Linked DNA regions of Caenorhabditis elegans. The protein of the gene in region 2 interacts with the protein of the main gene of each other region in a pairwise test. Each region holds a gene or a part of one and is shown on either strand. Other genes may lie near its edges. The genes, in order: gen-1 and wdr-23.

What was found.
Region 1: the proteins of wdr-23 (region 2) and gen-1 interact in a two-hybrid assay, tested with the Caenorhabditis elegans proteins (one study listed by BioGRID).

What each region holds. Positions count from the first base shown.
Region 1 is NC_003281.10:6,246,232-6,250,158, forward strand, and holds the start of gen-1 (GEN1 Holliday junction resolvase homolog), read right to left. Parts: upstream 1,928-3,927; 5' UTR 1,917-1,927; coding exon 1,829-1,916; intron 1,783-1,828; coding exon 1,692-1,782; intron 1,637-1,691; coding exon 1,555-1,636; intron 1,501-1,554; coding exon 1,411-1,500; intron 1,361-1,410; coding exon 1,126-1,360; intron 1,072-1,125; coding exon 906-1,071; intron 855-905; coding exon 741-854; intron 692-740; coding exon 508-691; intron 461-507; coding exon 258-460; intron 99-257; coding exon 47-98; 3' UTR 1-46. Other genes in the region: Dolichyl-diphosphooligosaccharide--protein glycosyltransferase subunit stt-3, read left to right, coding at 2,416-3,109, 3,165-3,641, 3,693-3,913.
Region 2 is NC_003279.8:7,594,523-7,598,449, reverse strand, and holds the start of wdr-23 (DDB1- and CUL4-associated factor 11 homolog), read right to left. Parts: upstream 1,944-3,927; 5' UTR 1,925-1,943; coding exon 1,840-1,924; intron 1,781-1,839; coding exon 1,704-1,780; intron 1,437-1,703; exon of another isoform or gene 1,277-1,436; coding exon of another isoform or gene 1,238-1,276; intron 155-1,237; coding exon 14-154; intron 1-13. Other genes in the region: D2030.8 (PC-esterase domain-containing protein 1B), read right to left, coding at 3,748-3,828, 3,875-3,927. UniProt on the Caenorhabditis elegans protein: Involved in regulation of lifespan. Required for dopaminergic CEP neuron degeneration in response to Mn(2+). Inhibits the skn-1-mediated up-regulation of tatn-1.

The DNA.
Region 1 (3,927 bases), on a different chromosome or scaffold from region 2:
TTTTAAATTCGAAATATGAGTAATTTGGATGAACTTTTTTTGTATATTAATCCGAGTCGCCAAGTTCGATGACATCAGTGGGATATGGCTTGAAGGCACTGCAATAAAACCGTTTAATTGTTTTTTTTTAACGGGAAACAAACTTTAAAAATAAGTTATTTTGCACGAAAATATTAATTTTGAGTGATTTCGAAATAGATTTTTCGTTTTACAATTTTTATTGTCAAATGTTCATAATTTTTCCAACAAAGTCTCACCGTATTTTTACAGATCGCTTTCTGTCTGGAACCTGTCGTTTCGCATGGTGTTGTAAAATTTGTGGAGATTCTGATCGTTTTCGTTTTCTCATCCAAGTATTATTTGCAGAAATGTAGTCTTCAAGTGATTCACATGGCTCTACGATCGGTGTGAAATTCTTCGATTTGGTGGCAGCAAAGAAATCAGGAATTCGAGTTTGAGCCTGGAAATATATACATTTTTGTGAATATTCTAAAATTATTTGCTCACCACAGTTGTCGTCAGATGCACTTTTCTCCGAATACTAAGAGCTAATTCTTTCTGTGTTCTTGTTGCTGGCCAACCACATTCCTTCATCATAATCTCTGCGACTTGTTGAAAATTTGCAGCTCTTGGAATAATTTTCGGAATTTCACTTGATACGGGTGGCCGAAGATACATCGTAATTGCATTGCTGAAAATTAAAAAAAAAATAGATACAGCAACTTCTAATAAAAACTAACTGTACGGCATCACAATTAGGAAATCCAACAGGAAAATTATACTTTTTTCGTCGTAAACGAAGCTTCCGTTGGGTGTCTTCTGAACGAGCTGGAATTTCTTCGCGTACGTATGACCTGAATAATAATAATAAAATATTCATAATAAACACAGTTAGAACAGCTTACGCAAAACGATCTAAAATCACATGAGGATCTATTTCTTCATTTCCGTCGTCACCAAATTCTCCCAGAATATCAAAAACCGAGACAATTCCAATGTTTTGAACACCACGTTGAAAATAGTCGCAACCGAGAAGAATTGCAGTTGAAATTAGATGAGGACGGGAGACTTCTGAAACAACTTTTTAACGATTACTTTATTTTTTCAACGCTGAAAACTACTTACTTTTCTCCATAAACATTCTTCCCAGGGAAAGATGCATGATGTCATGAAGACAAGCGGTGGAAGAAGTGCCGGCGGTAAAGTCAAATCTGTACAAATTCTTTCCGCCAAACAAAAAGTAATCGAAATCTGTCGTTATACAACCACTTGTCACTCCGAGATCTTCTAACCGTGCACATTGAGCTTCACCATCTCCTGGAGCAATGATGACTTTTATCCCAAGTTCTGTGAGAAGAGCCTGGAATTTTTTTCTAATTTACAGGTTATAATATTTAAAAAAAAACATACATTTGTTTTGTACACATGATCCACTAAATTTGTAAACGGAGAGTCTCCAAAACTTCGCCTCTTTCGTGGCACAAATTCGTTCTGATCTTTCTGAAATTTTGAAGTTAATTTTCAAATACACGTTTTCACTCAATTCCTTCCTACCGATTCATGAGCAGATGAACTTGCGTTAATATTGTCGAAAACAACAATAGGAATAATTTTTAGCTCCAAGAGGCGTTGGATTCTGCAAAAAAACGTTAGATATAGTAATTTCGGAACATTTAAAATAATATTCTTACCTTGTGAAAAATGTGACCAGGTAGCTGTTAGGAGTTTGTTGATGATGAGCTTCACAGCCTTTCAGGCTTTCGTATAACCAAATGTGGCCATCTGAACATTTTTTTTTTAAATTTGAAATTAAACTTTAATCACTCACCGATCGATAATGTCTTATCGCGCATGGTCTCATTTGGCACTTTTCGAACTACGTGGTTCGCCCACTCCCATATCCCGTTAATAGTCATTCTAGTAGCATCTAAAAGTGAGGGAAATGAGGGAAAATTCGAAAAATAATCGAAAATAGAGGAAGAGAGGAGCCCGCGTCAGTTAATGTGCGCGTAAATCGACATGAGAGACGACGAGGGACGGGTCTCACCACGATCTTGCGTCTTTTGAATTTGCCACGACTACACACCGTTGGAGAATGGCTCCAAATTGCTCGATTTCTTTTGTTTTTCATGCCATTTTACGATATCTTTGTGAGAAATACATTGAGAATTTTTATTAGTAACATGAATAACATAAAATAATACATGAATGGAGCAAGTTGCGCTCAAAATATTAGGCTTTGTTTTAACCTTTCGTGTCCAAAAATCTATTTAATGGTTATTGTTTTTTTCTGCAATCATTTGTGATGAGAAAAGCTATTTATTAAAAAACACAATTTCCAATATTCATTCCTTCCTATGACTATTTCGTCCACGTCAACTATATTCAAAACTCAAGAATTTCTCTTTTCAGGTAATGACATCAACAACGGCGGCTCGAACAGCGAGTAGTCGCGTCGGAGCGACAACTCTTCTTACCATCGTCGTACTGGCTCTGGCATGGTTCGTCGGATTCGCCTCCCGCCTTTTCGCCATCGTCCGCTTTGAGTCGATTATCCACGAGTTCGATCCATGGTTTAACTATCGCGCTACACATCATATGGTTCAACATGGTTTCTATAAATTCTTGAATTGGTTTGATGAGCGTGCCTGGTATCCACTTGGTCGTATTGTCGGAGGAACTGTATATCCAGGACTCATGGTAACATCTGGATTAATTCACTGGATTTTGGATTCCCTTAACTTCCATGTTCACATTCGTGAAGTTTGCGTATTTCTGGCTCCAACATTCTCTGGCCTGACTGCCATTGCCACCTATCTACTTACAAAGGAGTTGTGGAGCCCAGGAGCTGGTCTTTTCGCCGCTTGCTTCATTGCTATTTCTCCAGGATATACCTCCCGTTCAGTTGCTGGATCCTATGATAACGAGGGAATTGCCATCTTTGCTCTTCAATTCACGTATTATTTATGGGTGAAATCGCTCAAGACCGGATCGATTATGTGGGCTTCGTTATGTGCCCTTTCATACTTTTACATGGTTTCCGCATGGGGAGGATATGTTTTCATTATCAACTTGATTCCACTTCACGCTTTGGCTCTCATCATCATGGGTAATTAAAAAAAAAATTAAATGCAATTTATCAGTCGCAAAAATTTTTATTTCAGGTCGCTACTCGTCCCGTCTGTTTGTTTCCTACACATCGTTCTATTGCCTTGCCACCATCCTCTCGATGCAAGTTCCATTTGTAGGATTCCAACCAGTTCGTACTTCCGAGCACATGCCAGCTTTTGGAGTATTTGGTCTTCTTCAAATTGTTGCTCTCATGCACTACGCTCGCAACCGCATCACCCGGCAACAATTCATGACTCTCTTTGTGGGAGGATTGACCATTTTGGGAGCTCTCTCCGTTGTTGTTTATTTCGCATTGGTTTGGGGAGGATATGTCGCTCCATTCTCTGGACGTTTCTACTCTCTCTGGGACACCGGATACGCGAAAATTCATATTCCAATCATTGCTTCTGTCTCTGAACATCAGCCAACAACCTGGGTATCATTCTTCTTCGATCTCCATATTACCGCTGCTGTGTTCCCAGTTGGATTGTGGTATTGTATTAAGAAGGTCAACGATGAGCGTGTTTTCAGTAAGTCTAAACAATTCTGGATATGAATATTTTTAAAATTTCGTTTTTCAGTTATCCTGTACGCTGTGTCTGCGGTTTACTTCGCCGGAGTCATGGTCCGTCTCATGCTCACCCTCACTCCAGCTGTTTGTGTGCTCGCCGGTATCGGATTCTCTTACACTTTCGAGAAATACTTGAAGGACGAAGAAACAAAAGAGCGTTCTTCTTCTCAGTCAGGAACCACAAAGGACGAGAAGTTGTACGATAAAGCCGCCAAGAACGTCAAATCCAGGGTACCTGAAAGTGT
Region 2 (3,927 bases):
AATTGAAACAAACCTCCGGATCTCCAATATGACATCTTCCACTAAATGCAATATGTTGTTCCCTTTCAAACATTTGCTGCTCCTCATGTGGTGTCATCTTCGGACATCCTTCATCGTCCGACGAGAAGTCTGTGTCACTGTCATTGCTGTGATTCTGAAATTAAAAATGAGGTTAGATACTCGAACAATATCATTTAGTGAACAGATCATTTGCTAGTTTTGCATTGTTGTATTTCACACGTGACCAATGAATGTGCGTGTTGAGTGATGAAAGAGAAGACCCGTGTTGCGTCAGTCAGTTTACTTGAATTTCAAATTACGAATCGAATTAGTTTGTAAGAAGGAAATGAAATTTCTAAAAATTCATCAAAATGCTCCTAAACATCGGGAAAATGTGTTAAGGAGGAGGGTGGAGCCACGGGAGGCAACGGGCGGTTACTGTAGGTCGAGGGGGAGCGAATTGTCATCATGGGTCACCAATTGCATAAAACGAAAAGAAGACTTCATGGTTTGTAGTCAGAATTCTTGAATAAATGGTGGGAATTGTATGATTCGTAGTTTAATTGTAGGCTTTTATAGTTGAAGTCCCCCAAAATCTCAAAGTCATCAAAAATTCTGACAAATCTTCTTTTTAAAAATGGAACTTATAGTACAAACCAATTCAAATGATCTTTAATGTTGAGCTTAAAGTTCAGTGAGATGAAGTTTGTCATCATTTTTTTTTTCAGAAAGCTTCAAATGATCATCCCTACAAAATATGCTTAAATTTGCAGAAATCAAATGACTATAGAGCAATTTCAACACGGAACTATGTATATGATTATTTTATCTGTAGCTTCATATATATTTTCTTTTATTATTTCTGATAAAAGCTAGACCGCTAAAATAGAGCAAAATATGGAATTTTTAGCGAAAGTCGAAGTCTTTATCTGTTAATTTATAATTTTTATCAAATTTCGAAATAACAAAACTATACTGCATTCATTATAAAATCATCAACTCAAACAATGAAACTACATACTTTTCAAATAGAATCCACTCTTATCAATTCCTGATAAATCTTGGTCATATCCAAAGATCAAAAGTTCAAAGGAAACGAAGGAAGAAACAAAACAATTTAGACGATCTCGATTAAAAAAAACCAGTTTCTCGTCAATCGATTGACGCCGATTACTACACTCTAGTGAACACAAAGTTCCGCATCATTTTTTTTATTGGTTTACTCAACAAAGCTTACCCTTTTCAGATTTGAAGAGGAATGTCTTTTGTAAGGCATAGACGTTGAATACGAAATGAAGATTCGTTTTTTCAGACAAAAATAATATTAATTTAGAGAAATGTAGCAAAATTTGGGCCTAAAAGGAAGGGAGGCGCGGTAAAAATTGAGAGAATGAGAGTGTAAGAGGGAAATCAGAGAAGACAGGTCGCCCGTCTGCGCCTCTTCGATTGGCGCGATCGGGCTGTCAGGCTCCACCCACTTGCGGAAGAATCAGTTGATTTTTTGTATGTTTTGTGATGACAAATGACGACACAACATACTATGTGTTCGCTACACATTTTTATTTATTGATTTTCAGGATAATTTGCTTTTAATTTGAGTTTATATTTTCAATGAATAGACATTTTATAAATGTTAATTTTGCAAAAGCATTTTAAATTTCGCTTAACTTCATATTATATCCCTATGGATCAAGTAAACCTACCGGTTTCATCCTTTGATGAGCCACGATTTCTGCAGCTGTCCGCACGGAATACGCCGGACTTTGGTTGCTGTGTTGGACTGAAAACATGTGGTTTGTAGTTTTTGTGACTAGCATCTCACTTCCTCTTCTCGCTTACCTCTTGTATATTCGAGAAATCGGTTGGGCTGATGACGTTGAAAAAGATCAAATCGGAGGAACGTCGACGTTATCCAGTTGCCCATTCGAGCATAGGGCGAAGCACTGTAGCGAGAGAACAAGTTTTTTTTCAGATTTTGTCAGCACACACAAAACTACAGACGGTTGAATGTGAATGAGTGAGGGATTGTCATCAAAACACGAGTAAAGAGGGAAATTGATGACAATTAATAAGGGAGACTTGAATGATAGGGTTGATATGGCTGACTACTGGGAAGCACCGACTAAGCAGGAAATCAGAAAGAGGCAGGAGAAAGTGGTAAACAAGAAATTGGTAGAGCAGGAAATTCAAGTCTCTAAATATAATATCTACTGTATATTTTTCTTATTGATACTGCGAAAATTTCCACAAGAATTAGATGCCTTTGCCTCTTAAGTAGGCTCCGCCCACTGAGAAAGTGAAAACAACCATTTTGAAAATTCTTAATTATAAGAGTAATTTTAAACGAACTGCTCAGAAAACTATTCAATAAATTCTTTTTTTGCTTTATGCATCACTAAAACACGTGATCATCTGATAACGTGACTTTTGTGAAGTTGCATAATTAACAAACAATGTTATTAGATAAAAAGATTGGAAATCTCAAACTACTTTCACATGAATAGGCACTGATTCTATATTAAATATCATCATTTAATTGAATAAATGTTCGTTTTGACCCTTACGGGAACCTCAGGGCTTCCCATCCGGCTCGGTGTAGACGCAGAAAGCGAAACAATTCACGCGTCTTTCACTCGTTCTCCGAAAGAATTGAAACGAAAAATCAATATTCGATAAAACACATGATGATATTAGAGAGACACACAAACACTCACAAGAAACTCAAACAATTCCAGCAGGCGAAAAAAAAAGATGAACGCGTAGCCGATCTCTGTGTCTATAGAAAACAAAGTCTCTGCACAGCACGCTGACAAAAATGATGACAATTCACCGCGAGGAGGCTAACTGCGAAAGTGTTATGTGTGGAGAGACAGATGTGGAGAATGAAGATAGTGAATGAAACGAAGAGAGTATAGAGGTACGACGTAGTCATTGAGTGGTGGAGAAGTTGGAAGGAAGATGATGAGAATGACTTCTTCGTTCTATTCCATGGAAGGGATCTTTGAGATCAAGTTAAGAAGGTTCATTAATTGATTTCATCTATTAGCTATAACTTTCTTCTGTATAATTTTCTTTTTTTTCGGAAAATTTATATTTTTAAGGAAAGTTTAGCACAATTTAAAAGTTGTTATCGTACGTTTATAAGATTTTGACATGCGATCTGAAAGGCGCATGCATTTATTCAAATGGGTCTCGGCACGCATTATAATTTATGGTATTCTTTTTTTTTTAATTTTTGCGGCAGCTTCGTTTATTTTCCTGGCATTTTTAATGAAAGTTTCCTCGTTTTTATTTTATCTTTTACATGGAAAAGATCCGAGGAAGCAGGCACAAAACTACAATACATTTTTGTGCACCGAGACTCATCTGAATAAGCCTGTGAGCCTTTTAGAAGACATGTTAAATTAAAAATAGAAAGTTAGAAAAATTGTGTTTCAAATATTTTTTAAGATTTGAGCAGTTCCAAGTATTTTTTTCGAATTTACGAGGAAAAATCATTCTTCACAATTGAGTTTTTAAAGAAACTGACAAATTGTGAGTTCATTAATGAATAATTAAAATTACTATTATCTCTTGTTCAGTTTGAACGGGAACTAGTAATTTTTAAGAATTTGAAAACAATTAAATAAAATTTTACACCAAATAATGGTTTGTAAAATGTTGGGAAATAAAATTTCGGAGTAAAAAGCCTGAGACATATTACATGTAACTGTTTAACACCCGTTGGGAACACATTGTACACATAGATTAACGATATTCGTGACGAGATCCGGAGAAGCGACGTCGTTTTCGATACTGACTTGACGAAGGTGGACTGGCGTCGGCGATCTGAAATTAGAATGAATTCAGAATTTAAAATATGCATCATACGAACTCTATAAGGATTATTGCCATTTATAAAATGACCCGGAGTTGGTCCATTATGAG